4 linked regions of the Struthio camelus genome follow. The protein of the gene in region 3 binds, or shares a complex with, the protein of the main gene of each other region. Links are inferred from orthologs where the notes say so. Each region holds a gene or a part of one and is shown on either strand. Other genes may lie near its edges.

Region 1 (6,906 bases), on a different chromosome or scaffold from region 3:
TCGGGGTGGGGTGGGGGGGACGCTCCGCCGGCGCCTCCCTCCGCCCCCCCGGCCCGCAGGGGACGTGGCCGGCGGCTGCAAGCTGCTGCGCAACCGCTTCGAGAGCCGCGACCGCGAGTGGGCCACCTACACCTGCGTGCTGGGCTTCCACGTCTTCGGTAGGGCCCCCGCGCGTGCACGCGTGTGCGTGTGCCCCCCCCCCGCCCCCCCGGCCCCCCGGCCGCGCTCACGGCGCCCCGCGCAGGCGTCTGGCCCGACGGCTCCGACGGCACCGACATCAACTCGCTGTGCCGCTCGCACGACGAGCGCGTGGTGGCCGTGGCCGACGACTTCTGCAAGGTTCATCTCTTCCAGTACCCCTGCGCCCGGCCCAAGGTCAGCCCGGGGCGCCCGTGGGCCGGGCACACGCGTGTGCGGGCGGTGGGGGGCATGCACACGCGTGTGCGGGTGGGGGGGTGCACGCACATGTGTGTGCGGGGAGGGAGGTGCATGCACACGCGTGTGCAGGGAGGGGGGGTGCATACACATGTGTGCGGGGAGGGAGGGTGCACGCACACGCGTGTGCAGGGAGGGAGGTGCATGCACACGCGTGTGCGGGGAGGGGGGTGCACGCACACGCGTGTGCGGGGAGGGAGGTGCATGCACACGCGTGTGCGGGGAGGGGGGTGCACGCACATGTGTGCGGGCAGGGAGGGTGCACGCACACGTGTGTGCAGGCAGGGGAGTGCACGCACACGCGTGTGTGGGGAGGGGGGTGCATGCACACGTGTGTGTGCAGAGGGGGGGTGCACGCACACACGTGTGCGGGGAGGGGGGTGCACGCAGACGTGTGCGGGGAGGGAAGTGCATGCACACGCGTGTGCGGGGAGGGGGGTGCATGCACACGTGTGGGGGCAGGGAGGGTGCACGCACATGTGTGCGGGCAGGGAGGGTGCACGCACACGCGTGTGTGGGGAGGGGGGTGCACGCACACACGTGTGCAGGGGGAGGGTGCATGCACACGTGTGTGTGCAGAGGGGGGTGCATGCACACGCGTGTGCGGGGAGGGGGGTGCACGCACACGCGTGTGCAGGGTGGGGGTGCACGCACACGCGTGTGCGGGGGGGGTGCATGCACACGTGTGCGGGGAGGGGGGTGCACACACACGCGTGTGGGCGGTGCATGCACGCGCACGGGCACAGGTTTGCGGGGGGGAGGCGGCGGGAGCACGTTTGCAAAGGGAGCGCGCGCACACGCGTGTGCAAAGGGAGGGCATGGTTGTGCGCACGGGGAGAGTGTGTGTGTGTGCATGTGTGCAGGCATGTGTGCACAGGGAGGACACGCGTGCGTGTGCGCACGGGGAGAGCGTGTGTGCACAGAGAGGACACGCGTGTGCATGTGCACAAAGAGAGCACGCATGCACGAGAAAGATGTGTGCGTGTGTGCGCGTGGGGAGGACACGTGTGCGCGTCTGCACGAGGAGACCATGCATGCGTGTGCAGAAAGGACGTGTGCGTGTGCACGAGGAGACCATGCATGCGTGTGTGCGCAGAAAGGACACACGTGTGCATGTGCATGGGCAGAGCCTGCATGCGTGTGTGTGTGTGTGTGTGTGTGCATGTGTGTGTGCAGGAAGGACACGCGTGTGCACGTGCACGACCAGAGCATGCACGTGTGCGTGTGTGTAGGAGGGACACGCGTGTGCACAAGCAGAGCATGCATGCACGTGTGTGTGTGTGTGCAGGAAGGACACGTGCACGCGCGTGTGTGTGTATTAAGGACATGTGTGTGCGTGTGCACGAGGAGAGCCTGCATGCACGTGTGTGCATATGCAGGAAGGACATGCGTGTGCGTGTGCATGAGCAGAGCATGCACGTGTGCGTGTGCAGGAAGGACACGTGTGTGCCTGTGTGTGCAGGAAGGACACACATGCGCGTGTGTGTGTGTGTGCAGGAAGGACAGGTGTGTGCGTGTGCAGGGGCACAGCACGCACGTGTGCGTGTGTGCAGCAAGGACACACGTGTGTGTGCGTGCGTGCAGGAAGGACACGCGTGTGCGCGTGCGTACAGGAAGGACGCGCGTGGGCGTGTGCACGAGCACAGCATGCACGTGTGCGTGTGTGCAGCAAGGACACACGTGTGCGTGTGTGTGCAGTAAGGACGCGCGTGTGTGTGTGTGTGCAGGAAGGACACACGTGTGCATGTGTGTGTGCAGCAAGGACACACACATGCGTGTGTGCGTGCAGGAAGGACACGCGTGGGCGTGTGCATGCAGGAAGGACACGTGTGTGTGTGCGTGCAGGAAGGACACGTGTGTGTGTGTGCACAAGCACAGCATGCACGTGTGCGTGTGTGCAGCAAGGACACGTGTGTGTGTGTGTGTGTGTGTGTGTGTGTGTGTGTGCAGTAAGGACACGCGTGTGCGTGCATGAAGGACGCGCGTGGGCGTGCAGGAAAGACGCGCGTGGGCGCGTGCGTGCAGGAAGGACACGCGTGTGCGTGCAGGAAGGACGCGCGTGGGCGTGTGCACGAGCACAGCATGCACGTGTGTGTGTGTGCAGGAAGGACACGCGTGTGCGTGCAGGAAGGACACGCGTGGGCGTGTGCACGAGCACATCATGCACGTGTGCGTGTGTGCAGCAAGGACACGCGTGTGCGCGTGCGTGCAGGAAGGACGCGCGTGGGCGTGCAGGAAGGACGCGCGTGGGCGCGTGCAGGCGCAGAGCGGGCGGCGCGTGCCGGCCGCGGGGCGAGCAGGCTCGTGCGCATGCGCGCGGGCGGGCGGGCGGGCGGGGGGGGGCGGAGGCAGGGAGGGCGGCGCGCGGGCGTGGCCTCGCCGCCCCGCCCCCCGGCCCATCCGCCGGTGCCGACGGCCGTGCGCGCAGGCGCCGAGTCACGTGTACGGCGGGCACGGGAGCCACGTGACCAACGTGCGGTTCAGCCACGACGACGCGCACCTGGTGTCGCTGGGCGGCAAAGACACCAGCGTCTTCCAGTGGCGGGTGCTGGGCGGGCCGCGCCGCCGCTCCCTGCCCGGCCCCGCCGACGGCCCCGAGCCCGCCTAGCGCCCGCCCCAATAAAAACCCGGCGGCACCGCCACCCTCCGGCTCCTCCCTCCTTCGCCGCCGCCGTTCCCGAGCCGCTTCCGCAGCGGCCCCAGGGGACTCCCGAAAGAGCCGGGGGGGGGGTCGGGAAAGAGCCGAGGGGGGGTCGGGAATAGCCGAGGGGGGGTCGGGAAAGAGCCGGGGGGGCTCCGGAAAGAGCCGAAGGGGCTCCGGAAAGAGCCGAGCGGGGCCCGGAAAGAGCCGAGGGGCCCCGGAAAGAGCCGAGGGGCCCCGGAAAGAGCCGAGGGGGCTCCGGAAAGAGCCGAGGGGGCTCCGGAAAGAGCCGAGGGGGCCCCGGGAAGAGCCGAGCGGGGCCCGGAAAGAGCCGAGGGGGCTCCGGAAAGAGCCGAGGGGGCTCCGGAAAGAGCCGAGGGGCCCCGGAAAGAGCCGAGGGGGCTCCGGAAAGAGCCGAGCGGGGCCCGGAAAGAGCCGAGCGGGGCCCGGAAAGAGCCGAAGGGGCCCGGAAAGAGCCGAAGGGGGCTCCGGGAAGAGCCGAGGGGGCCCGGGAAGAGCCGAGGGGGCCCGGAAAGAGCCGAGGGGGCTCCGGAAAGAGCCAAGGGGGCTCCGGAAAGAGCCGAGCGGGGCCCGGAAAGAGCCGAGGGGGCCCCGGAAAGAGCCGAGCGTCTCCGGAAAGAGCCGAGCGCGGCCCGGAGAGAGCCGAGGGGGCCCGGAAAGAGCCGAGCGGGGCCCGGAAAGAGCCGAGGGGGCCCCGGAAAGAGCCGAGCGTCTCCGGAAAGAGCCGAGCGCGGCCCGGAGAGAGCCGAGGCGGCTGCGGAAGGGCCCGAGGCCGCGCCGAGCCCGCGGCCGCGCCGAGCCCCCTCCCGAGCTGCCCGAGCGGGTCGCGCCGGTGCGGAGGCGACGGGAGGCGGCGGCGGCGGGAGGCGGCGGGAGGCGATGAAGCGCGGCCCGGGTCGGGCCCGGGGGTAGCGCGGCCGAGCGAGCGGCCATGGCGGCCAACATGTACCGCGTCGGCGGTGAGCGAGGGGCCGGCGGCGGCGGGAGGGCGGGGAGGGATCGGGGGGGGGTCTGTGAGGGGGACGAAGGGGGATCTGGGGGGGTCTGTGAGGGCGGGGGGGGATCGGGGGGTGTCTGTGAGGGGGGGAAGGGGGATCTGGGGGGGTCTGTGAGGGGGGAAGGGGGATCTGGGGGGGTCTGTGAGGGGGAGAAGGGGGATCCGGGGGGGTCTGTGAGGGGGGGGGTCTGTGAGGGGGGAAGGGGGATCGGGGGGGTCTGTGAGGGGGACGAAGGGGGATCCGGGGGGGGTCTGTGAGGGCGGGGGGGGATCGGGGGGGGTCTGTGAGGGGGACGAAGGGGGATCTGGGGGGGTCTGTGAGGGGGAGAAGGGGGATCCGGGGGGTCTGTGAGGGGGAGAAGGGGGATCCGGGGGGGTCTGTGGGGGGGGGGTGTCTGTGAGGGGGGAAGGGGGATCTGGGGGGGTCTGTGAAGGGGAGAAGGGGGATCTGGGGGGGTCTGTGGGGGGAGGGTCTGTGAGGGGGAGAAGGGGGATCCGGGGGGGTCTGTGGGGGGGGTCTGTGAGGGGGGAAAGGGGGATCCAGGGGGGGGATTTGTGAGGGGGGATCTGTGAGGGGGGGAAGGGGGATTGGGGGGGGTCTGTGAGGGGGACGAAGGGGGATCCGAGGGGGGTCTGTGAGGGGGAGAAGGGGGAGCCGGGGGGGTCTGTGGGGGGGGGGTCTGTGAGGGGGGAAGGGGGATCCGGGGGGTCTGTGAGGGGGAGAAGGGGGATCCGGGGGGGTCTGTGAGGGGGGGGGTCTGTGAGGGGGGAAGGGGGATCGGGGGGGTCTGTGAGGGGGACGAAGGGGGATCCGGGGGGGGTCTGTGAGGGGGAGAAGGGGGATCCGGGGGGGTCTGTGGGGGGGGGGTCTGTGAGGGGGGAAGGGGGATCCGGGGGGTCTGTGAGGGGGACGAAGGGGGATCCGGGGGGGGTCTGTGGGGGGGGTCTGTGAGAGGGGAAAGGGGGATCCAGGGGGGGGATTTGTGAGGGGGGATCTGTGAGGGGGGGAAGGGGGATCGGGGGGGTCTGTGAGGGGGACGAAGGGGGATCCGGGGGGGGTCTGTGGGGGGGGATTTGTGAGGGGGGGAAGGGGGATCGGGGGGGAATCCGGAGGGGAGAAGAAGGAATCCGGGGGGGGGGATCCGTGAGGGGAGGAAGGGGGATCCCCCCATTTTGGGGATCCGTTGTAGGGGGGAAAGGGGGGATCCCCCCATTTTGGGGCCCCCTTAACTGTTAGAGGAGGGAAGGGGGATCCGTTGTGGGGGGGGAGGGGGAATCTGAGGGGGGAGGAAGGGGGATCCTTGGGGGGGGGATCCCCCCATTTTGGGGCGCCCTTAGCTGTTAGAGGAGCACAACCGCGACATAAAGGAGAGGGGCTGGCGGGGGGGGCCGCGAAGGGGGCAGAGGAGCCCCCTCCCCATCAATGTGTGTGTGTGTGGGGGGGTCCGTTCCCCCCCCCCAACAGCCGGACGGAGCCCCCCGCGCGCAGCAGGGGCGTTGGCGGGGGGCGCGAGCCCCCCCCACCCCCGGGTTTCGGAGGCATCCTGCGGGGCGGGGGCTGCGCTGGGACACCCCCCCCGCCCCAGCGAGCCCCCCCGCCCCAGCGAGCCCCCCGCCCTGAGCCTCTTCTCCCCGCAGACTACGTCTATTTTGAGAACTCCTCCAGCAACCCCTACCTGGTGCGGCGCATCGAGGAGCTCAACAAGGTGAGGGGCCGCCCGGCTTCCCCCCCGCCCTGGGGGGTGAAATGAAGTGTGGGGGGGGGGGGTCCCGCCTGCCTCCCGCTCAGCGCCCCCTCCCCGCAGACCGCCAATGGCAACGTGGAGGCCAAGGTGGTTTGTCTCTTCCGCCGGCGGGACATTTCCAGCAGCCTGAACAGCCTGGCCGACAGCAACGCGCGTGAGTGCGGGGCGCCGGGGGTCCCCCCCTCCAACCCAAGCGGGGGCAGCCCCTTCCCCGACGGCGGTGGGGTTGTGGGGGGGGGGCGGAAGGTGTTTTTTTGGGTGGTGGTGGGGGGGGGAAGGCGTCTTTGGGGGCTGACGCCGGCGCTGCGCCCAGGCGAGTTCGAGGAGGAGTCCAAGCAGCCGGCCATGACGGAGCAGCAGCGGCACCAGCTCAAGCACCGCGAGCTCTTCCTCTCCCGGCAGTTCGAGTCGCTGCCGGCCACTCACATCCGGTGCGTGCGGCGGCGGGGGGGGGGGACAAGGAGGGAGGGGACAACAGCGGGGGGGGACAGCGGGGCGCCCCCCCCCTCCCCGGCGGCGGGGCCGTGAGCCCGGCCTGTGCGCCCGCAGGGGGAAGTGCAGCGTGACGCTCCTCAACGAGACCGACATCCTGGGCCAGTACTTGGAGAAGGAGGTGAGGCCTTGCCGTTTTGGGGTGGGGGTGGGGGGCCCAGCCCACTGCGTGCCCCCCTCACCTTCCTCCCTCCCTCTTCTTCCTCTTCCCAGGACTGTTTCTTCTACTCGCTGGTGTTCGACCCCGTCCAGAAAACCCTCCTGGCCGACCAGGGCGAGATCCGGGTCGGCTGCAAGTACCAAGCGGAGATCCCCGACCGGCTGGCGGAGGGTGAGGCGGCGGCGGGGGGCCGGGAGGGGTGGAGGAAGGCGGTGGGGGGGGGGTCTGCGCTCCCCCACCCACCCCGTCCCCGTCCCCCAGGCGAATCGGACAACCGGAACCAGCAGAAGATGGAGATGAAAGTGTGGGACCCCGACAACCCGCTGACCGACCGGCAGATCGACCAGTTCCTGGTGGTGGCGCGGTGAGCCGGCGGGTGACAGTGGTGGCGGGCGACGGCGGCGGTGGCGGGCGT
Region 2 (7,779 bases), on a different chromosome or scaffold from region 3:
CTGAGACGCGTTTTCGGGGTTGTCTCCAGACTGAGGCTGCGGTAGCCTGCAGCTGGGTGGGGGAGAGGAGAGGCCGGGGCCCCCGGGGCCTGCTCCTTGGAGGGGGCCCAGTGCGTCGGGGCGTGCGGGGCAGAGCATGCCCAGGCCCTGCTGGGGAGGGAAGAAGGAGAGTCGAGCAGCCAGCTTGGGGCAGAAAGGTGCAAAGAGGGGAGCCAAAAGCAGCTGTTTTGGGGAAAGGGGCCCATGGCTGCAGCCCCCAAGGCCCTGCCTCGGGTGCCTGCTGCTGCGCCCTCTGCCAGGCGAGGGAGGAGGCCAGCCAGGGCGGCTGGCGATGGAGCAGGGGGCTTCAGGGAGGGTTCTGGCAGGGGCCAGGCTGCTCCCGAGGCAGCTCTTGATGGATGCCTCAGCTTCTCCGTACTGGCTGGCTGGCTAGCCAAATTTGCCTCTGTGGCTTGCAGCCATCCTGCATCCCTTCCTTTGCTGGGGGAGGGGACACAAGAGTCTCCCAGCAGCGTCCCAGTGGTCGTTTGCCCAAACGGCACCGAGCAGGGATGGGGTGGCCCCAGGCAGGTACATAGCCAGGGAAAGGACAAATCTGGGACTCGCCGGTACACAGGCAGCAACGCAAGCCATCAGGAGGGCCCGAGCGCTGGCCAGAGAGGGGGAGCACCGTAGGGCAGCTGGGGGAGAGGCAAGTGGTCCAGGCTGTATTTTGGCTATGTATTTTTTGCACAGGTTCAGCTGTAAACCTGCAGCAAGGGCCCAGCCACGCGGAGGAGGCTCAGCCTGACCTCTCTCTGGCAGGCTGGGCCCACCTCGTCGTGCCCGGCTCCCGCAGCTCGCTGCACGGCGGCCTGCAAGGCGTTGGCACGTCCCAGCCACTGCCTCTGAGCTTGAACTGGCAGATATTTCCCTTTCCCTCTCCACTTGAGTTTTCTCTCTTCCCCGTCAATCCTCCCTGCTTACACCCAGTTGGGACAGCCTGTGTCCCGGCGGTTCGGGGCAGGAGAGGGTTGTGACGGCAGCAGGCAATGCGTTTCTAGAAATAGCCTGTGTTAGTGCCAGCGTGGCTGGTTGTAGGGTGGCGGGTAAGGAAGGGGGGAGGCGGCGGTGATTCAGCTTTGCCAGTGCAGCTGGAGCTGTGTCCAGTTTCCGATTGTGCATCCTGGTGAAGGAGCTATAGCTCTGCGCGCTACAGCAAGGGGTACCGGCACCGCTCTGGGGGCACAGCCGCCCTCCCAACCGCAGAAGGAAAACTCCCCCTCTGGAGGTGGGGGAAAGCAGACCTCTATCCTAGGCAAACCTGCAGCGTGGCTGAAATGCAAATGTTTCCCAAGGCCGCTGTGGAAGTGGTTTAAGGAAGACGCAGCATGTGGCCAGGAAGGCAAGCTGAAGCTTTCCAAGCGGGAAAGTCACGCTAGGGTAGCCATGGACGGCTGTAATGTAGCGCTGCTCAGCTGTGCCAGACTTCGATGCAGTGGGGGACAACGAGCTTTCCCTTCCAGGGACAGGAGAGCGTCGTGAGTCCAACCAACCCGGACAAACACATTTGAAGGAGCAGGATGGATTTTGGCCACCTAAACCTATGGAAGTCCAAAGGGATCCCACAAAAATGTCGGTGTGCCACGCAAGCAGCAGCGCAGAGCCAGGTGCGTGGTGGCCCACCTGCCTCGACGTTGGCCTCGTTGCCCTCTCTTCCAAAGGGCTGACCTTTCAGTCCCTGTCCCTTGTCACTGAGGTGCTCGGGGGGGGACGGGGGACAGAAAGCTCAGCAGGAAAATTCCAGCTGCTACCGTGCCCTGGAGAGCTGTCCTGGGGCAGGGAGCAGCAGGGGGGTAGCAGCAGAGAGGGGTGGCGAGCAGAGCAGGGGCAGAGAGGTTGGTTTGGGATGAGGGTGCATCAGGGGACCGCCTAGTCCATTGGTCTAGACCAATGCACCTAGAAAGTTCTCCTCATGCCCACGCGTGCTGGGGAGAGCTGATTTCTGTGGGGCCATCTTGGACAGGCTGGCATCTTCTGCAGGTCTCGGCTTTTCTTGGTGGCTGTGCCCTCTCCGGGCTGGGCCGACAGGGATCCAGTGCAAGAGCTTCCCTGTCACAACAGACAGAAAACCTTCTCGAAGGACCAAGCTTGCTACAGGAGGAGCGCTGGTGGCACGTACCGGACTGGGATTTTGGTGGCGGGAGACAGGGCGTTGCAAAACCCAATGCCTTTCCAGGCTGTGGCTGCTGGAGCCACGTCCCCTCCTTTCCAATTGCATAACATCCCAGTGGCGACCACAGCTATTGCTCAACGTGGAAGAGTAACAGCAGGGAAGTTCTGACATGTTTTTGTTGCTATCGTTTAAAAAACAATTTAGTGTCTGGAAAGAGCAGTCAACACCACGTGAGCGGCCACTTCTTCGTGTGCAACTACCAAGTGCCCCATGATGCGATTTGTAAATATTTATTCTGGATAATTTTTCTGTGTCCTACTGAATTATTTTCCGCTCTGCAGAGTGGTTGCAGAAACAGCCTGGGGAGGACCAGGCCTCGCGCCTGGCGTGCGGGCAGACGTGTCCCGCGGGTACCGTAGTGTCCCCAGAGGCCAAGTCGCTCATGCTCGGCTCTGCTGGGGAGCTCGGGAAAGGCAGGAACACGGCGCGGGCACGGGCGGCCCCCGGCGTGCTGGACTAACCCTTAGCTGACCGGTTTCAGCCCCAGAAACGCTCTCCTCGCTCAGCAGCGCTCCTTGCCTGTGTGGGAAATATGAAAGCAGAACAAATCCGAATGGCCCTACTGCGGTCACTGGGGTTTTTTTTTTAACATATAAAAAAGAATTTAAGCCAACAAATCATTCTCTCTTAAATACACGTATTTTGGCAGGTGTGACAACTTTGGGCAGTCTTATGGGACTCCTTGAGGATGTCACGACAACCGGGGTTGAGAGCGCGGGTGGTTGGCCCTGCTCAGCCCTGGTGAAACGTGCGGCTTTGGCTAACTGCTTCTTCCGCGGCTGCGGAGAGTTTTATTACACGTATTTTTTGGCTGATGAATAATTTCCCCAGCAGCAGGCCGAGGTGCCACCGCGAGAGGTGTGGGACGCGGGGCGCCCCCAGCCAGGCAGTCGGGGTACCGGTTACGGGGTGTTCCCAAACGCGTGGTGCATCAAGGTGTGCAGCTGCATGGGGTGTCAAGAACAGGGGTACAGGTGGGGGGACGTGGTGTGTGTGAGGAGGGGTTGTGCAGTGATGCCCCCTGGGAGGGGCCACACTGCCTGTGCCAGGGCAGCTGTGTGTGCGGGTGTGAGGAGGGCTGTGTGTGTGAGCACAGGCAGCGCACGTGGAGAAGGGCTGTGTGTGTGGGAGGGCTGTGTGTGAGGAGGGCTGTGAGGAGAGGTGTGTTTGAGTACAGGAGGGGTGTGTGTGTGTCAGGAGAGCTGGCTGCTGTACAGGCAGTTGTGTGAGGGTACAGGTGGGCTGTGTGTACAGAGGGCTGTGAGGACAGGTGGAGTGTGAGGGCACAGGCAGGGTGTGTGCACAGAGGGCTGTGAGGACAGATGGAGTGTGAGGGTACAGGCAGGCTGTGTGCACAGAGGGCTGTGAGGACAGGCAGGGTGCGAGGGTACAGGCAGTGTGTGTGCACAGAGGGCTGTGAGGACAGGCGGAGTGTGAGGGTACAGGCAGGCTGTGTGCACAGAGGGCTGTGAGGACAGGCGGAGTGTGAGGGTACAGGCTGGGTGTGTGCACAGAGGGCTGTGAGGACAGGCGGAGTGTGAGGGTACAGGCAGGCTGTGTGCACAGAGGGCTGTGAGGACAGGCGGAGCGTGAGGGTACAGGCAGTGTGTGTGTGCAGAGGGCTGTGAGGACAGGCGGAGTGTGAGGGTACAGGCAGGGTGTGTGCGGAGTGCTGAGGACAGGCGGAGTGTGAGGGTACAGGCCGGATGTGTGCGCAGAGGGCTGTGAGGACAGGCGGAGTGTGAGGGCACAGGCAGGGTGTGTGCACAGAGGGCTGTGAGGACAGGCGGAGTGCGAGGGTACAGGCAGGGTGTGTGCGGAGTGCTGAGGACAGGCGGAGTGTGAGGGTACAGGCCGGATGTGTGCGCAGGGGGCTGTGAGGACAGGCGGAGTGTGAGGGTACAGGCAGGGTGTGTGCAGAGGGCTGTGAGGACAGGCGGAGTGTGAGGGCACAGGCAGGGTGTGTGCACAGAGGGCTGTGAGGACAGGCGGAGTGCGAGGGTACAGGCAGGGTGTGTGCGGAGTGCTGAGGACAGGCGGAGTGTGAGGGTACAGGCAGGGTGTGTGCACAGAGGGCTGTGAGGACAGGCAGAGCGTGAGGGTACAGGCAGGGTGTGTGCACAGAGGGCTGTGAGGACAGGCGGAGTGTGAGGGTACAGGCAGGGTGTGTGCACAGAGGGCTGTGAGGACAGGCGGAGTGTGAGGGTACAGGCCGGGTGTGTGCGCAGGGGGCTGTGAGGACAGGCGGCGTGCCTGAGTACAGGAAGCAGAGGGCTGTGAGGCCAGGCGGTGCGTGGGCACAGGCGGTGCGCGGGGGCCGGTGCCAGGGGCTGCGGGCAGGCCCCGCCGCAGGCCCCGCCGCCCGGAGGAGGCCGGCCCGGGCTCTGGTGGTGCCGCCGCCGCCGGCGGGCGGGCGGGCGCGGCGCTCGCCGCCGTCACATGGTGCGGGCTGGGCGGCGGGGCCCGCTCCTTCCCCCCCCGCCCGCCGCCGCCGCCGCCGCCGCCCCGGCCCTCGCCGTGCCCGCGCCGCCGCCGCCCCGCCCTCCGCCGCCCGCCCGCTCGCCCTCCCCTCGGCGGCCGGGCGGCAGCCGGCGCGGCCCCTTTAATTCCCTCGCTCCCCCTCCCCCGCCCGGCCGCTCCAGCCTCCATTTTCCAGCGGATCCGGCACCTGGAGGCGGCGGCGGCGGCGACGGGAGCGGCCCGCGTCCCGCACCCGGCCCCGTCCCGGGCATGGCCGCCAACATGTACCGGGTCGGAGGTAAGCGCCCCGCCGGGCCCCGGCCCCGCGCGGCCGCGCCTCCCCGCGTGCCAGCGGCGCGTCAGGGGCCGCGGCGGCGGGGCAGGCCCGGCCCGGCGGGCGTGGGGCGCGCTGGGGGCGCGGGGCGCCGTGGGGCGGGTGCGGGGGGTGGGCTGTGGGGCCCGCTGGGGTGGGCAGGAGTGCGGGGTGCGTGTGGGGTGGAGGGCAACGTGGGGTATGGGGTGGTCTTGGGGCGGGGTGTGGGGTGGGTTGGGGTGGGGGGGAGCCTGGAGATAGGGTAGGTGGTGGTCTTGGGGTGGGGGGAGCGTGGGGACGGGGTGTGGGGTGGGGGGGAGCCTGGAGATAGGGTAGGTGGTGGTCTTGGGGTGGGGGGAGCGTGGGGACGGGGTGTGGGGTGGGGGGGAGCCTGGAGATAGGGTAGGTGGTGGTCTTGGGGTGGGGGGAGCGTGGGGACGGGGTGTGGGGTGGGGGGGAGCCTGGAGATAGGGTAGGTGGTGGTCTTGGGGTGGGGTGGGGGGCAGCTTTGGAAGGAGTTGCATGGGGAGGGAGGCTGTTGAGGCACGAGGCAGGGACCTTCTCGGTGGGGTGGGGGCGCGAGGTAGGTTTGGGGTGTGGGTTTTGGGGCTGGAGCAGGCTGGGGAGAGGTTAGGTGGGTGGGAAGGCTGGTGCCTGTGGGGTGTGGGTGGCTCTGGGGTGGGGAGAGGCTGAGGAGGAGGCAGGTGGGCGCAGGGCTGCTGGAAGAGGATGTGTGGGGCGAGGGTGGATTTGGGTTGGAGGCTGGGGGTTTGGGAAGGGGACAGGACTGGGGTGCTGGGAGGGGGGGATCGGGTCCGCGGGGTGTGGGTGTGTGGGACGCACACAAGGAGCGCTGTAAGGAAGAGGGCTATGGAGGGTGAGGGGGTTTTAGGTGGGAGTAAGTGGGGCAAAGGGCTGTTGTGGGGGCGGTTTGGGGAGGCTTTGTGTGGGCAATGGGGCTTGGAGTTCCTGTGTGAGGTGGGGGCGGATACGACATGGTGTGTTTGGCATTGTGCAAGGTACAGGGTGTGGGGCAGAGGTGAGGAGCCATCTTGGGAGGGTTGGGGATGGAGAAGAGCCCTGCCGAGCTTTATGAGGCTGAGGAAAGTAGGGGCCTGCTCTGTGTATGAGCTGTGCGGGGGGGAGTCGGGGGGCTTGGAGAGAGAGGAGTAGAGGGCAGATCTGGGATGAGGGCATGGGCAGGAGGGGTGGATTTCTGGAGCAACCTATGAGAGCAAGACCAGAGACCATGGGGAAACAGAGTTAGGGTTGGGGTGGAACGAAGGGTCGGATGACTGTTTAGACAAGGGTTATGTGAGGTTGTAAGGGTGGGGACGTACAGGGAGTTGCTGGGATAAGAGCAAGCCTAACGATAGGCTGAGACTACTGGTAGACTAGGGCAGTTGCATGAAGCAAGTCCTGCTGATCTTGGCCTTCCCTTCCATTCATGCTGTTTTATTGTATGCTTTCCCATTAGTCTTCTGTTCAGAGCCTTGCGCTCCTGTCTGATTGTCCTTTGTTTAAACTCACGTGAAGAGAAAGGAGAGGCAACAGGGTTTGGGATTGAATTTTATGGAATATAAACACTGAGGGTGGTCTGGCATGAATTTGTGTTCAGCCATTTTCCTTCATAAAAGCTGTTCTGTGGAACTTCCTTGTTCCTTGAACCATAGGATCTAAGGGAAGATATTTTGGTGGGGGGGGGTCCCTCCTTTCAAAGTACTCCATTCTTTTGGAGTTCTGTAAAAGCAGGGTAAAGTAAACAAGGGGAAAATATAGTGAAGGTGGCCAAGCCATCCTGTCTGGCTACTCTCCATCAACAACTACTTTCAATTCTTTCCACTTTTCTGGCCTACCCTTACTTTGTACTCTGAAAAATGTCACGTTTGTTGTCACATTTATACTTTTTTGCTGGTTGCACTTGGTGTCGTGAAGGGATAAGATGTGCATCTTAGCTGTCCCAGCTTTGTTTCTTGGGTTGCTACAAGTTGGTTGTGTGTGTGTGTATAGCATTATGTGGGGTTAGAAATGCTGAGAAGTAGAAAGATGAAGGGCAAAATGTGCTGTAGGAGTTTACAGTTCAGTTCCTGGTGTGACTTGCAAAGGGAATTGTTTCCTGGGAATTGTTGTTTGGTATTTAAGGTTACAGGCATTAGTCTTGCACTGAATGTGATCTCTAGTATTTTGTGTGTCAAAACCTGGACTGTGCTCCCCATAAAATCATGTAGGTGGGAAGAGACCTCTAGAAATCTCTAGTCCAACCACCTACTAAAAGCCATCCAGTTAGAGCAGGATGCTTGGGGCTGTGTTCAGTTGAGTTCTGAACGAAGGATGGTGATGCCTCTTCTTCTCTGGGCCCTCTTCCAGTGTTTGACCACCTTCCTGGCAACTTGTTTTCCTTATGTCTGGTTGGAATTTCTCATGTTCTGACATGTGTTCATTGCCCCTTGTCCCCGGGAACCTCTGAGAAGAGCCTGCCCCTGTCTGCTGGTTGTAGACAGCAATAGCATCTGCCCCGAGCCTTTTCTCCCCCAGGCTGAACAAACCTGTCTCTATTGGCCTGTCTTTGTACATCCTGTGCTTCAGCCCCAACCACCTTGGTAGCTCCACTGGACTTGCTCCAGTATGTCACTGTCCTTGTCTTGGGGAGCCCAAACTGGATGAGCGCTCTAGATGGTCTCAAGCGCTGAGCAGGAGGGATAGGATCTCTCCCCTCGCCCTGCTGCTTGTGCTCTTGTTAACCCAGCCCAAAATGCCACCAGCTTTGCTGCAATGGTACAGTGCTGTCTGC
Region 3 (7,669 bases):
CGGCAAGGGCAGCCGGCTGGCTGGCGGCAGCGCCCCGGCGGCGAGCACACGGCAGGCACGCCGGCCCCGGGCTCGGCTGCGATCGCTCCGCTCTCGGCCACCGAACAGGTTGAGGAGCTCGCCCACGCGGGGCCGGGATGAAAGCGCGGCTGCGAGCCTCCTCGGAGAACCGCCGGCTCCCGGCGCATCACCCGCCCCGGGCGCCCGCGCTGGGGCTGGGCCGCCCTCCTTGGCACCGCCGGGCGGGACGCGGCAGCGGGAGGACGACGGGAGCCCAGCCCCGGCGGCGAGCGGGGAGAGGCCTGCCCGGAAAACCGAAGGGATGGGCGCCTCGGGAGCGAGGGTTCGGGGAGGCCTGGGAGGAGGCTCAGTAGCTTTATCCGCCTCTTCTCAACACGCAGAACGAGGCCGCTACCTGTCCGGGCTGGTTTTCGTTGGCATCTGGCTGGTTTTGATCCCGGTGCTCGTTTGGCAAAGCGCAAAGAGGAAAAACTCTCCGGAGGGAGTTTCCAGACCTGGGCTTTGGTGGCCGAGGGCTTGGAAACTTCCCGCTTGCCGCCTGCGGTCCTCCAGCGAGACCTCCCGCCGGGGCAGGCGAGAGCGGCTGCCGCTGCCGCAGGGCTGAAGCGAGGGCGGCGTTCAGCTCTCTGCCTTGACCGGTCCCAGTCTCCTCACTCACCTTTAAAGATGCTGGGTTTTTTCTTCCCCTTCCCGTACAGGCCACCGCCGAGGCAGCACGTCCCGCGCCAAGGCGGACGGAGCCGGGAAGGAGCCAGCGGGCAGCACCGGCGCGGCGACGCCGAGCAGCCGCCGGCCCGGCGGGGCCCTTCCCTGGCAGGAGCACAACAGGCTCTGGAGGAGGAGGAGGAGGAGGAGGAAGAAAACAAGGCTGGAGGGGGGGGGTGAAAGGCGCTCCCCATAATAACACAGCATCTGGCCTGGGAGGAACCCAGCGAAATTGGGGAGTGGGACCGGGCTAGGCAAAATTTATCTGGAAGAGGTTAAGGGGAAAGCCTGCCTGGAGCAGCCAGGAGTTGTTACACCCGAAAGAAGTTATACGCTGAACTGCAGCAACGCTCCTCGAGCGGGCCGGCTGCGAGGAGAGGTTTCCCCCAGCCCCGGCGCAGGGCGGCTGCTGCGGGGTTGCTGCCGGGGGTGCTCCCCGGGGCTCCTTCCCGCTGCAGGGAGCGATCCAGGCCTTCCCGGCGTATTTGGAGGGCTGGGGAGAAAAGGCGCCAGGGAGCCATGAGGACGCAGCGTGTCTGCTGGCGGTTGGGGGTTTCTGGCGCGTTCTGGGGCAGTAAGCAGCAAGCGTCACCCGGAAAGCGGATGGAGCAGCAGCGGGACACCGGGGCTGCCAGCTTTCCCTCTGGAAGGAGAACGGCAGCGCCGCGGGAAGCCCCAGCGACCGGATGAGCTCCGCAGCCTCGCCGGGCTGCGGGGAGCAGGCGCGGAGCTACCGTCTGTGTCTTGACAGAGGCCAAACCTGCCCCCTGCTCAAGCCTTTAGGAGCTGCTTTTTCAGCCCGCGAGGGTCAGAGCCTCCTGGCTTCGTTTTGGACGATCGTTTCAGTTTTGGCACGAGAGGGCGGCTCAGGGACTTGCGGATTGAGTTGATACCCAGAAACTTGCAGGTACCTCTACTGTGTTTATGATTCTGCCTCCCGGGAAACTTGGGAATAAATATTTTAATACAAACTGATTTAAACGTAAACTCCTTCCCGCGAAAGGGACGTACTGCCGGTCTCCCTCCTCTCGCTGCTGCACGTGTCTCTGCGACAGGCGGAGGACGGCCAGGACAGCCACAAGTCACTTCATTTATTAAACTTGTCAACAGTTAATTACATTGAAATTAACACACAAACGTAACGTTTTGCACAGGTCAAAGCCATGCCAGGGGAAGCCGGTGTCTTGCTGTCCCGTCTTTCATGCTTTTCATCGTTAATTTAATCCCAGACGAGAAGGAAGACGACGAGTTTGCACTCCCCGAGTGCAGGTCTCCAAGCGTTTTGGGGCATCAGAGGTGAGAAAGTGAAACCAGCAGCGGGAACGTGGGGAATGCAAAGAAAAACAAGGGGGGAAAGGGGGGAGGCTGCAGGTCCGACACGCCGGAGAGGCAGCAGCACCTGCAAAATACAGGAGGTTTTGTGGCCGTGCCCGGAGGCACCTGTGGATGCCGGAGAGAGACAGGCTCCTCTCGCTGCCTTTCCTCCCTCGCTGAAAACCGTAACGCGCACGCATTTATTTCCAAGTTGCTTCTCACTGGAGAGGAGGCTTGGAAACGGGACAGCTGTGGTAAAATGGCTCTGCCGCAGGACGCCGGGGTCGCTCGTGACCGCGGGCTGCTATGACCATCAGTAGATGGGGTTGTGCCGTCAGGCGGCAGCGCGGAGCAGCAGCGCTGCCGGACCGCGGTTTCGCCCCGCCGCAGGGCTTGGGCGCTCGGGGCAGCACGCGCCGGGCAGCCCCTCCGAGGCAGCTCCGGGCCACGGTCGCCTTGCTAAACCGTCAGCCCCGGGCCCAAGCGCCCCGGGGGTTTTACCGCTGTGGCCACAGCCGGGTCGAAACAACCGAAGCGGATGCACGGAGCGCCCGACGGAGAGGGACAGCTCGCAGGTACCTCCTGCCCGAGGCAACTTCTGCAAAGACAGTGAGACGCAGCTAGTCAAGCCCGCTGGAGCTTGCTTCAGACGCCAAAAAGCCAGGTTTTACCCGGGTCTGGTGTCATGCATTGCCGCTGACGTAAAAATCTGGGTATTGCGGAGTTCCCGCTTTCAGCACAAATAATTTGGCCCTGCAAACTTCCCTGCCGCGTGCTAAGTCAGTTTGCTCCGGAGCGGGAAGCGTCTGCAGCAGCTCGTGCAGAAGAAGGGATGGCCTTACAGGATCGGTCCCTTAAGCCGCCCACCTCGAGATACCACTGAAGGAATACTGCGTGTTTTTAAGCCGTCATTATAAAACCGAAGCGAAACACAGGGGATCTTGTTCTCCGCAGCGCTGCTCTGAGTGCAGTTTTGTAGGGTTGGTGCAAAGCCGTGAAAAACACGGCCAGCTCTGAACCCTCCCATTTCGCACTGTCTCGGTGTTACTGTAAACAACGGCGGAGCAATGGAAAATCCCAGCGCGGCGTGCCCCCGCGCCTGCAGGACTGCGCCGGCCGGCCGGCGGCCGCACAAAGGCAGCCAGTTACACGTCCCACCCAAAAGTTAGCGGGGGGCACGGTTCGGTATTTGCAGAGCGCCAGGGTTTAGCAGTGCGATCTTTCAGGACGCTCACGAGAATTACGCCGGTAAAGCTTCGTGCACTGGTGTGAAAATACCGTTATGGAGCAGGTGACTCCACGCCGGAGGCGCCGGGGCGTCCGCGCCGGCAGGCTGCAGCGCCGCTCGGTTGCGCCAAGGGCGGTGTACGCCGTCCGGGCTTCACCACGAGCGCTGGGAACGGAGATAACGTGCAAAACCGTAACGCGGTCGCGTGTTTTACCCGGTACGGGGCATGGTTTCTAGACACTTCTTTGATGCGGTGTGCAGGTGTTAGGGTCGGAGGCTCGAAAGCCGGCTCGCTCTTCCCGCTGCGTCTCGGCTCGGCGGAGGGAATCACCCAGCCGCTCCGCGACTCGCCTCCCCCCCGGCCGGTCTCTGCCGCAGAAACGCCGCCCGCGTCCCTTCACAAAGCAGCCCAACGCGGCGGATGCTGCAGGCCTGAATTAGCGCGGCCGCTTCCAGGGAGCAGGATGGAGCCGCCTGCGCTCGGGGTCGCAGGCGCCAGCTAACGGCGATACCGCACGGCACGGGCGTATAACAGCAACGCCTGTGACTGAAGTACCCCAAACTGCCCCGATTCCAGCGGGATTTCCTGGCGAAGCGCGGGCGGGCTGGGGGGGCTCGGGCCGCGCTGCCGGCCCGGAGCGGCTACGCCGGCGTAAATCCGGAGAAACGCGGCAATTGCAGAGGCGCATTTGGATTCGCGTAGGGGATGAGCGCACCCGAGCGTCCCACCCCGAAAGGATAAACTTCGGAGAGGCGGATAAAACCGAGAAATAATTTGTTTATTTGGGGGGGGGTGAAGAGAGGGGGTACATCCCACTGCTGTTCGCAAGCAGAAAACGGGTCAGTCATGGACTAGATTTGCATTTATTTGTTAAATCCCTCCATGGCTGCAATCTGCTATTAAACCTTCAGCCTTCCAGCGAGCCGAAAGAGTAGTTTTACTAATAATAATTAAAAAAAAAAAATTGTTTTTTTTCCTTCGCGGCACCAGAAAATTTCCACTGAAGATCTGAGGGAGCGGGGGGGGAGGGTACAATCAACAGGTATTTCCCATCCAAATTGGCGGCGAGGGGAATAAATCGGAGGTGAATAGGTAATTACGGGTTTTTTTTGGGGGGGGGGGGGAGGAAGGGGCGCCTCGGCGGCGCGGAGCCTCTTCGCCGCGGACAGGGGCGCCCGCCGCCGCCGGGCGATCCCATTTCCACGAGAAGTTGAGCCAAAACTTTGCGAAGTGAATTAACCTCTCCCCCCGCCTCAACCGACACCCATCTCCCCCCACCCCCCCTCGCCCCGCCACCACCTCACCGCCCGCCCCGCGCCGCCGCCTCCGTTCCCGCCTCGGCGCCCGCGCGGCCCCTCGCGCCGCGCCGTCCCTGAGGGGAGCTCGCGCCATTGTCTGTGAGGGGATGGTCGCGGCACCCCCCGCCGCCGCGGCACCCCCCGCCGCCGCCGCTCCCGCCGCCGCCTCCGCGCCCCCGCCGCCGCGCCGAGGGGCGCGGGGCGCCGCGCCGCCGCCGGCTGCCTCGTCTCCCCTAAAGTTTTTGGATCCGCGTCTCCTCATGATGTATGGATGATATATTGCATTGTGGGTGTCAATATAACTGACGGCCATATTTGCCGGTGCTGCTACTGCTGTAAACAACCCAAAGTGTCTGGGAGACGCCGAGACGCTTCGCTGGATTTCAGGACGTTTTTCTCCTCCTGCCGCTGGCCATGTCGCTGGGAATGTCTTACAAACCCAACTTGAACGCCCACCTCCCCGGGACTCCCCTCACCCCGGGTAAGTCCGCGGCGGCAACTGGGCGGCAAGTTTGGGAGGCGTGCGGCGGGGCTCCGCCGTGCCGCGCCGCGCCGCGCCGGCAGCCGGGGCCGGCCCCGCGCTCGAGTTTTTTGTCCAGCCCGCTATGGCGGGGCAGCGGCTCCGCGCCGGCTCCGCGCCGCCATTACCAGCGCCCGCCCGCCCGCCCGGCGGCGCCGCCGCCGCCGCCGCCAGCCCGCCTCGCCTCGCCTCGCCTGGCCGCGCCGCCCCTCCGCGGGGGCGCCGCGCCCGCCGGGCCGGCTCCGCACCGCCGCCGCTACCGCCGCCGCTCCGGGGCTCCGGCCGCCGGCTTTCCTCCATGCTCGGCTCCCCGGGGCGGCTGATTGATCTGGATCAGGAATATTCCGCCGGCGCCTCAGCGAGGACCGCTGCTGGCGGGACGCCGCAAGTGCCGCTCGCGCCGCTCCGCGCCGCGCCTCCCGCGCCCCGCCGGCCCCGCTCTCCTCAGGGGCAGCGGCGGCCGCCGGCCCAGGGGCGCCCCGGCCCCGGCCCCCCTCGCCGTGCCCCCGCGCCGTCTCTCCGACCCGCCCCGCTCGCCTGGAGCCTTTTCTTTCTTTTTTTGGGGGAGAGGGGGAGGCAGGAATCGCTCTTTATTTCTTCCCAAACCCCTCTTATTATTTTTTTTCTTCCTCATTGGATCTGTAGAGAAGTCCCAACTTTCCTCTCTAAAAAAGTTTTCCTTGATGGGATTAACTTTTTTTGTTTTGTTTTGCTTTTACCCCCCCCCCCCCTTGATTTATTTCATTTCCAGCGGTAACAGGCAGTGAGGGGTTGTGCTCAGGGTGAGGTGTTGGCTGTGAGAGTGGGTCTGGGTGTCGGGGTGCATATACATCGCGCGTATACATTGGTGAAGTCCAAACAAAGCCACAGCGGCGATTGCTCCGCTCTGGGGTATTTGGAGGGGAACTCACTAATCAGTGCACCCCGGCTAGTATTGAAACAGAACCAAAATGGAGAAGTTGGTTCTGACTTAAAAAGAAAGACAAGAAAAAAGAAACCATATTCCCGTCTCCCTTTCCCACAGCTCCAGCCTGCAGGGCTGGCACCGGCCGCTCTGCAGGCAGAAATACGACTGATGTTTTGAGAAGGGAAAGTTTTGCTGTTTGGTTCAGGAGGGAGAGGGAAATTTGCCTCGGGGATTTTACAGCACTGTTTGCGGTTGTGTTCCTGGGATATGGATAGACGAAGGGGATTAAGGAGATGCACCTCTATTCTCACTACCGGGAGAGCGGCGATTGCATTTTACTGTAAGGAATTGGCACCAGCCGGTGATGGAGCTGAGGTCCCTGCACCTCCAACTCCTACGTGCAGGGCAGCTTCGATCCTGCGGGGAGCTGAGCCTGGTGGGGCTGCGCGTGGGGAAACTTGGCGTGTGCAGGGAGCTCCCTGAGCCTAAGTGCCGCTTCCCAGGGGGGCCAGGAAGCAGGAGATGTGCTAGGATTTGTGACAAAAAAGCAGAAGTGTCACCCCCCCCCCCAAAAAAAAAAAAAGCCCCAATGCATGAAGCACCGCAGGGGAAATGTTTCTCCCATGAGAACCTGTGCCTTGCTTTCTGGAACAGCTGTAAAATTGCAGGGGAAACAAAGGTAGTATTTTGTAGTGGTGCGTGGCGGGGTGGGGATTAGGTGGTACTGGGGGGGGTCCAAGTGTGGCCACGCCGAGCGGGAAGACTGCAGGATCCCGGTCGAATGCCGCTCACAAAGCAGCCGAGGGGTGAACTTCTGCCTCCGGTCCTCCTGCTGCCGTGTCTCTGTGCTTTCTAATGCTCCGGCTGCGATCGGGGTTTTAGATTCTTTCATGCAGTTTTCATCTTTCCTTTATTATTATTATTATTATTTTTTTAACATTTTGTTTTTCTTCCCCTTAATGGCAAGACAGCAGCAGTTTGCTGTCATGCTGGGACTGTCTAACTTGTGCTCTCTCCTGAGTTTAGATCACCCTCAACACCCCTAGGATCTTTTCAATGAAAAACCGTCCTCCTCAGAATCCAAAATGGGCTCTCTCTTCCCTCCCTGTCTTCTGCCATTATCCTCACGCACCAGCTCTTCCTCTAGCTAGTGGTATTGCCAGCACCGTGGCCTAAGGCCAAGGGAGTTAGACAAAGCAGTCCTTGCAGTTGCACATATCGCATTCAGAGTGATATGACTGCAAATGGCCCCCTCCTCGCTGGAGCTTAATTCTGAGTTGAAGGAGGTTGCTTCTCTATTGTGTCTAAATTAAATGCCACTGGCCAAGAGGAAAAATCCGAGGTTTGCTTCCAAACCTGGGGTGAAGGAACCCCACCCCCACCCCCCCGTCCTGCAGAGGAGAGGAAAACAGGAAATCTGTCCTTTTTGGCCTGAGATCAGCCCTGCAGAAGCCTCTCTGTGTGAATGCTGAATATTTTGGTCTCAGCTGACAGAAGGGCTCTGGCCAGCTGTGGATCTCACAGGGATTTTCCTCTGGGAGATAATGCTGCTTCTCTGCACTGCAGGGCTTCTGGTGCAGGAGAATTTGGAAAGGCAGTGTGGCAGCTCCGCTCCTGAAGCAAGCTGTGTCCTTGCTGCAGAGCTAACTCCTTTCAAGTTTAGGCTGAGAGTGGC
Region 4 (7,140 bases), on a different chromosome or scaffold from region 3:
TTACCATACCCATTTCCAGGGTGAGCTTCCTCACCCTTGACCAAGCTGGCTGGAAAGATGGGTTCAGATTAAGGCTGCCTAAGTGGAATGAAGGCTAAGCGCCGCTTTGATGTGTTGCACAGTGGAAATTTCCACACCGTTTGTTTCTTTTTTTGGGCAACGCATTTGACAAATTAAAAATCTCCACCATTTCAGAAACAAAAACGTAAAGCTAAAACAGGATCTTTCTGCTGTAATAGTTATTTGAAACAAAGAGCAAACAGCACACAAGAAATTGTGGATGCTACTTCTGCAGAATTAAAATCCTAAGCCACCCAGGTAGGATCAAGTGACAAGTATCTTTAGAAAAGGATTTGCAGGCACATCTTCCCAGTTTCCCCATATCACGTGAGAAGATCTCAGGGAGATAAAGAGAAAACAAGAGAGTTTTCAGCTCTTCCCATATAAGTTAAAGTGTCTTGATCCACACCTGACAGCCAGTTTCAGACAGTGCTATTCCAAGGTCAGAGACAACATCTTTTGGAGACAACATCTATCTCCTCAGACTGGCTGCATAGCTCATGCCTGAGAGCGCCTGCTTGTAACAGGGCATTAACATCCTCACACTTACATTATAGACTCTTCTCTCCACGCATGAGCCACTATCCTGTACGTACTGTGAGGAAAACAAAGCACAGAAGCGACAACAACAGAGCATCAGAATTGGGCAAGAGCTGCTCAAGCCCTGGCTCTCAACGTTCTGCCAGGGTCAGGGGAGTACCCAGACATCCAGAGAACGAGCTACGATGAGGTGTCTCACATCCACCTGTTGCATCCTTATAAACGCCTAGCCTTTTTCAGCCACAGACCTCTGCGCAATGCTTGCAAACAGCTACTATGGCTCTCCTGAGCAGTCTGCCCCTATGTCAAGCCTAACGGGAAACCCTCAGCCTCATTTTAGAGCATGCAGCATTACCTCTTTCTTCCTCCTCTTGATTTTGGAAGCCTTGCTGTCTTTCAGCTTCTTGGATTTCTTTTTTTTCTGCACAGCGACTTGTTCTTCTGGGTAAAACTCATCCAGTCCTTCCAGGACCCCATCATCTTCTTCTGAGGAGGAAAGGCACAACTTACTCAGATGGATTTCACACACACGCAGGCCAGAGCAAAAGGCAGTCTGTTCTTCTCCCCAGTGACCAGCCTCACAGAACCCCTCACGGTCTGGCTCGTGCTTTGAAGCCACGAGCCCACGCTTCTGAGGTGGGGGAACTTCCCTCTGCTGAGACAGGGGCATCAAGACGCCCTAATGTGCTGCCTGCTATTATTGATTTTGGTTGGTAGGTAATTAGGAAGCATTAGGCTTTTTATCTTTTAGATTTCCAAACAGAGCCCATTAAAACTGATTCAATTAAAGGCAAATGAGAGAGAGGTAGGCAGCCTCTCCGCCAGTGACCTCCTCCCTCCGTATACCATATGCAGAGCGAAGATGAAGCCTCGCATGGAAGAAGGGGCAACGCTGCGGTTCACTGGAGGTCTGCCGTGGCTCCATGCTCAGGGATCATGCACACTCAGCAGCTGGTGGCTCCCGCTGCTGGACTGCCGGGGACCCAGCTGCATGCCGCAGAGCGCAGCTAGTTCAGGGACCTGGCCCTGCACCTCATCTCTCTGCCGCTCCCTGCCAGCGCAGAGAAGCCAGGCTCACACTTTTCTTTTCCCGTCATCATCATCTCCCCAAATGCAATACCATGACTAATGAGTCCTGGTATTTCGCCAAATCATTGCATTTCCTTAAAATCTAGCTCAGTATTTGATTTTTTCATTTACTTTCAAAATCTCTAAACTTATATGGTAATAACAGTCCAGTCTCATAAGACCAGACAGACTTCTTTTTCATCCTCAAACGACAGCAGCGTAGGCTCCGCCAAGACAAGCACCTAAGCTCCATCTCAGCGGAGCGCGTTAGGAACGGAGGGAGCCCCGCAGCGCTAGGAGCACACCTTCGCCACCTCTCACGGGACCAGTCTCATCTGCCCTAAGCAGCACCAGAACAGAGTTCTCAGCCTATAGGTCACATGCAGAAGGATCTTTGAAAAGCTGCATTTTACCCACAACTGTCCTCAGAAAGACAAGAAAAATTGTCTTTTGGGGGAAAAGGGAGGGCCTTAAACCCCATGAAGAAGGATGCAGTGGCAATTCAGAGAAAGAATTTGCAAGCTTCCCACCTCTGACTTTGACTATTGAGACAATTTGTCAAAGCCAAAGGAAATGGCTCAAGCGAGTTCAAGTGCTCCTACCTGCTCCTCTCGCTAAAACACCCCCTTGCTGGAGGCCTCTTCATGGAACAGCAACGTAAACACAGGAGCAAGTTAAAGGTACTACAAATGCACTAATTAGGCACAACAGAAGTAGAGCCCAACAGAAACCAAGCGGAGCCAAGGAGGAGAAAAAGCTCTCTGCAGCGCAGACTTTGTACTTCCCTTTGGGTTTGCTTTATTTCCCTTAACCTAAAGAAACGATGGCATCCACTGGAAGGGCGTCTGGTAATCTGTGGGCAAAAATACGCCACTCGGCCAAACATTCAGTACCTCTGCCCGAAGAGCGATTACCACAGTCCATTTGCTGACAGTTAACCCTCCACGTAGAAACCGTCGGCAGCTGAAGCGAGAAACGGGGAGGAGAGGCAGCGACCGCGACGGCTTTCGCAGGCGCGCTATCCTCCGACGGCCGCAGACCGAGGGAAGCCGCCCACGCTCCCACCCCCCGGCCCCGAGCAGCCGCCGGCGCCCGGGCCGACGGCCTGAGCCTCCCGCAGAGGGGGCCGCGCCGGGGGCCCTCCACCCCCCGAGCCCCGGGGGGGACGGGCCCGCCTGCCCGCCCGCGCCGCCCCCCCCCCCCCCGTACCCGAGACGTCCTCCTCGTTGTCCAGGTCGCCCGGGAGCTCGTCGCCGGCCGCCGGCCCCCGCATGCCGGGCGGCGGGGAGCGCCGGCCCGGGCCCGCCGGGCTGCGGCAGCTCGGCACCAAGATGGCGCCCGCCCCGCCCCCCGCGCGCGCCCGCCCGCCCGCGGTGGGGGGGGGGTGTCGCGCGCGGCCGTGCGGCGCGGCGCGGTGTCGCGCGCGGCCGTGCGGCGCGGTGTCGCGCGCGGCCGTGCGGCGCGGCGCGGCGTCGCCAAAGACGGCCCGGTTAACAATTCCTCCCACATTTTATTCAGCGAAACGTATTGTACAAAATATGTCGAGGTCGGCGCGAGCGTCTAATCCTCCTCCTCCTCCTCCTCCTCGTCCTGGTTGATCTGGAAGTACCGCAGCTCGTAGCTCTCCTTGCTGTTGGCCACCACGCGCAGCCAGTCGCGCAGGTTGTTCTTCTTCAGGTACTTCTTGGTGAGGTACTTGAGGTACCTGCAAGAGGAGAGGGGCGCTCAGCCGCGCGGAGCTCGCCGCCCGCGCCCCGCCGCCCAGCCCCGCGGCCTCTCCCCGCTCCCGGCCCGGGAAGGGGCCGGCGATCCGGGTGGCACGAGCGCGCCTCGCTCGCCGAAGCGCAAAGGAAGCGCGTGGGTTCAAAGTGCTTCCACGTTTTCGTCTAGCAGCGCTTCATAAGCCCTTTCTGAAGACGCTCCTCTTCAGCTCCAGCTCGCACGGGAAGGGCACACAAGCCGAATCCCACGTGCACCGAGAACAATTCCCAACATCGGACACCACAGGCTAAACCGCGCAGGCCCCACCCAGGACAACTTCCTCCAACAGCGGAGCGACGCATCCCAGAGCGGCGTCGGCCAGGAGACGCTGGTGCTCGGGAACAGCACTGTCAGCTACACGTTGCCCCTTGCCGGAGGTACCACCAGCACCCGAGACCCAAGGCTAGGGAGCTGCGTTCCCTCTTCACCCTCCGAGGCCAAGCTTGCTACTATGCAAACAGAGCGAGGCACCAACTGCGTTTCCACAGCACCAAATAAGCCCCAGGTCAACGCGGCGCTAACACCGCCAGGATAGTATAGTAGCTGGCCATCTTTCACCTCCTTGCGCGCTTTCCACAGCACTGCCCGGAGCGTGCCAGATCCCACACCGATGCAAAGAGAACCGCTCGGGCCAAAGCGCTTACGCTTCCCAAGCGTGGCAATCGGAGGCTGCGGGATTGCAAGCAAGCAAACCCAGCTGGTGCCAATGTGTGCCGTTTACACTTTCCATCATTTTACATCTCCAGCTGCCATGCTTGCAGTCGCCACTGCTGAAAAGTAATCTGGAGAAAGTGTATATCAATATATTTATGCAATCTATGTAAGACAGCAAGTTACAGACTTTCAAGTGTAGTTTGCAATCCCAGAACTGAGGCGGGGGGATAATTTGAGAGTGCTCAAACCTCTTGCCCACAGAAGGTGGGCCAAATTCTGTTGAATGTTTGGCCAAAACATTTAGGTTTTGGTATAGTTCACAAGTATTCAGAGTTCTCTTAACCTAACCTTTCTTTTTAGAAAGATTGCAGACAGCTGACTGGGAAAACAGGAACATGCAGAACAAACTTATCTTTCCCTACTTTAGTAGGGCCGATATTAGCAACTGATTCCCAACACACAGCGGTCGTTACTCGATTATGATTCAAACCTAAAACCTCAAACTTTGGCACGTGAAGACTAAACTACTAGCGGGTACATAAGTCCCAGCAACAACAAAAGCTGAAGAAAAGCATCAGTTCATTAAGAAATGGCAGACGCACATCTCTTAATTCCTTAAAAACTCCAAGACACATATCCTCTGACATGAGCCGGAACAGAAGTCCGCATCTAAGAGTGCCAAGCAGCTGCAGTGGAGGATAATGCTGCGAACACAGTCAAGTCACTGAACCCAGCAGACCAGGTTAAACAGAATAACTACTGAATGCCAAAATGGTCAGGCTGCTTTTTAAGCATGATTTTTAAGGGAAATATATTGCAAGCTAGAGTCAGGATTTTTTTTTTTTTTTAAACTAAAAACATGACGTGGCTTTGCCAATTCATTTTGGCTGCATGATTTATGTAGCAATGCCCAATAGACTTTTTTATTCATAATACTGATCGAAGACATCATTGTAAAACCCACCTTTAGCCTCACTTAATACACATAAATCAAAACCAAAAAATGCTTGATTTGATAAAAAACAGATAACCTGCATTTACTCTCCAGAGGAGCTAGCTGTGATTTAGATTTGGAGATGTAAACAATTTTACAGGAAAGTAATCTACAGCATAAAACTGAATTCATCAAAGCCAAATCAAGGGCAGAGATATTAGGCAAACATAAGAACTGGGCAAATGGCAGAAGTCCAGCAGGATAAAGGTAACACTACAGTAGTGGAAGAGTTTGGCTGTTTATCAGTCTCTAAAATTCCACATTTGGCATCTTTGCAGGAGGGGTAGATCCTCCACTGCTTTTCAACTCAGCTTGCCTTCCAAGAAAGATTTTCAACCACGTACCCTTCTTAAAGATCACTTAGAAACAAATAGTCACCATGTCCCATTTCTCAAGCAGTATACTTTGAAGTCAGCAGGACTTGGTACAACTTATGTGCCAAGACATCTTTTCATTAGCTCCAGTGTTTCCCCATGCATTAGGATTTTACGGAAGAGCTTCCTGTCTTGTGGCCCTGGGAACTAGTATTGAAAGATGCTGTCTTAGAAGCTTATTCTTACCAAGCACCACAACTTGGAGAAAATGAACTACCTTCTAGCAACGCGTGTCATCAAAAAGCAGGCGGGGGAGCACTCGTGTAGCTAGCTTCACCGGCTATCATAAACAGCGGCCCAGAAGTCTTTGTATCCAAAGAAAAGACCAGATAAACAGCAGACATCCCAGCGCACCTTTCACAACACCCTCCTAACAGCCAGAGCCAAGTCTGACATCAAGGGCACCGTTTTAACACCACAGATCCGTTGCTGAGACTGCAAGAACAGGGCTACCTGATGTCAGCAGCCACTACTGCCATGAGGGGCAACATCCTGAGCAGCTGCCTGCAACTTCACACAAACACTGAAGCATGCCACGTGACGGTGATTCACCCCGCTGCTAGCGGAGGACTGCAGCAGCGCTCCAGAGAAACAGGCTGCGCTGCCAGCCTGCCCTGTCCGAATCGCCTGCGGGTGCCCCGTGTCCTTACCTCTTTGAAAACGGAACCTCTGAAGTAACAGTGATCTTGCTCTTGCTCCTCTCGATGGTCACCACACCCCCACCCAAGTTACCAGCTTTGCCATTAACCTTGATTCTTTCCTGCAAGAACTGCTCCTGCAAGGGAAGAGTGCGACTGGTTAGCCAGGGCTGACAGCTCCAAAGGACCGAGGGGTTTTGCAGCTCGTTTGCACTGACCATTTTGACTTTTCGGTTAGAAGTAGGAAAGAGAGATAGTCACACAGCAATGACAAGCAGAGGAAAGCAGGTAGGTAGGTTTTGATCCCACAAATACGTTGCATGACTACTCCTGCTGGCTCAAACTGGCCCATTCAGACCTGCACATAAGTGACTTTCCCAACTGTGAAAGAACTAAGTTGTTTTCTTATGTCACTAATATTTTCTGCTTTTTGAGATGACAGTCAAAATACAGGTTATTTTGTGATTCTCAGAAAAGTGTTACCCCGAACCTTTTGTTTCAAACCTATTCTCCTTGTATACAAACACAGCTTCATAAGATATCTGTCAGAGAGAATTATGGAACTTATTGCTGTCCTCACATGCTGTTTCTTAAAGCTTAAAAGAAAACTAGCTGTCTAAGTTATAAATACTAGATATTGTTCAGCAGGTAAAGAAAATTAACTAACTACAAATTGTTTACAAAATAATAATACTCTTATTTACATAACTATGCCGTTTGCTAAACAGCCTATTTAGATGTTGCAATGAGATATGAATAGTACTTGGAACAGCTGTCTCTTAAAGAAAATGCACGTGTGGAATAAGAGACAAGTTTACTTTCCAAGCAACATTTCTGCTTGTCAACTTAAATCTATCAATCCAAGGACAGGCTTTCCTTTTACACAAAGGAATAAAGTTCAGATCAGACACAGAGGCACTTTCTAACCAGAGTTAGGATCTATCTCAGTTCCTTCTCCCCTCCTCCCCGTAACACGCATGCGCAGGTAAGTTCTTGTAACCTTGAGTTGAGGGCTGCAGCAAAAGGGTAGCCTTTTTTTCTTTTGATCATG

What was found.
Region 1: CDK2AP1 (region 3) and MTA2 share a complex: the UniProt entries of both Homo sapiens proteins name them as parts of the nucleosome remodeling and deacetylase (NuRD) repressor complex. The link is inferred for Struthio camelus from reciprocal best matches to the Homo sapiens genes CDK2AP1 and MTA2.
Region 2: CDK2AP1 (region 3) and MTA1 share a complex: the UniProt entries of both Homo sapiens proteins name them as parts of the nucleosome remodeling and deacetylase (NuRD) repressor complex. The link is inferred for Struthio camelus from reciprocal best matches to the Homo sapiens genes CDK2AP1 and MTA1.
Region 4: CDK2AP1 (region 3) and CHD5 share a complex: the UniProt entries of both Homo sapiens proteins name them as parts of the nucleosome remodeling and deacetylase (NuRD) repressor complex. The link is inferred for Struthio camelus from reciprocal best matches to the Homo sapiens genes CDK2AP1 and CHD5.

The regions. Positions count from the first base shown.
Region 1 is NC_090976.1:523,877-530,782, forward strand, and holds the start of MTA2 (metastasis-associated protein MTA2), read left to right. Parts: upstream 1-3,897; 5' UTR 3,898-4,028; coding exon 4,029-4,056; intron 4,057-5,732; coding exon 5,733-5,800; intron 5,801-5,899; coding exon 5,900-5,993; intron 5,994-6,152; coding exon 6,153-6,270; intron 6,271-6,388; coding exon 6,389-6,452; intron 6,453-6,544; coding exon 6,545-6,662; intron 6,663-6,752; coding exon 6,753-6,855; intron 6,856-6,906. Other genes in the region: EML3 (echinoderm microtubule-associated protein-like 3), read left to right, coding at 60-158, 245-375, 2,864-3,043. UniProt on the Homo sapiens protein: May function as a transcriptional coregulator. Acts as a component of the histone deacetylase NuRD complex which participates in the remodeling of chromatin.
Region 2 is NC_090949.1:9,500,672-9,508,450, forward strand, and holds the start of MTA1 (metastasis-associated protein MTA1), read left to right. Parts: upstream 1-4,765; 5' UTR 4,766-4,945; coding exon 4,946-4,973; intron 4,974-7,779. UniProt on the Homo sapiens protein: Transcriptional coregulator which can act as both a transcriptional corepressor and coactivator. Acts as a component of the histone deacetylase NuRD complex which participates in the remodeling of chromatin.
Region 3 is NC_090958.1:16,837,067-16,844,735, forward strand, and holds the start of CDK2AP1 (cyclin-dependent kinase 2-associated protein 1), read left to right. Parts: upstream 1-4,654; 5' UTR 4,655-4,981; coding exon 4,982-5,048; intron 5,049-7,669. UniProt on the Homo sapiens protein: Inhibitor of cyclin-dependent kinase CDK2. Also acts as a component of the histone deacetylase NuRD complex which participates in the remodeling of chromatin.
Region 4 is NC_090962.1:908,624-915,763, reverse strand, and holds the start of CHD5 (chromodomain-helicase-DNA-binding protein 5), read right to left. Parts: upstream 3,007-7,140; 5' UTR 2,942-3,006; coding exon 2,878-2,941; intron 1,087-2,877; coding exon 956-1,086; intron 1-955. Other genes in the region: RPL22 (large ribosomal subunit protein eL22), read right to left, coding at 3,229-3,373, 6,102-6,226. UniProt on the Homo sapiens protein: ATP-dependent chromatin-remodeling factor that binds DNA through histones and regulates gene transcription. May specifically recognize and bind trimethylated 'Lys-27' (H3K27me3) and non-methylated 'Lys-4' of histone H3.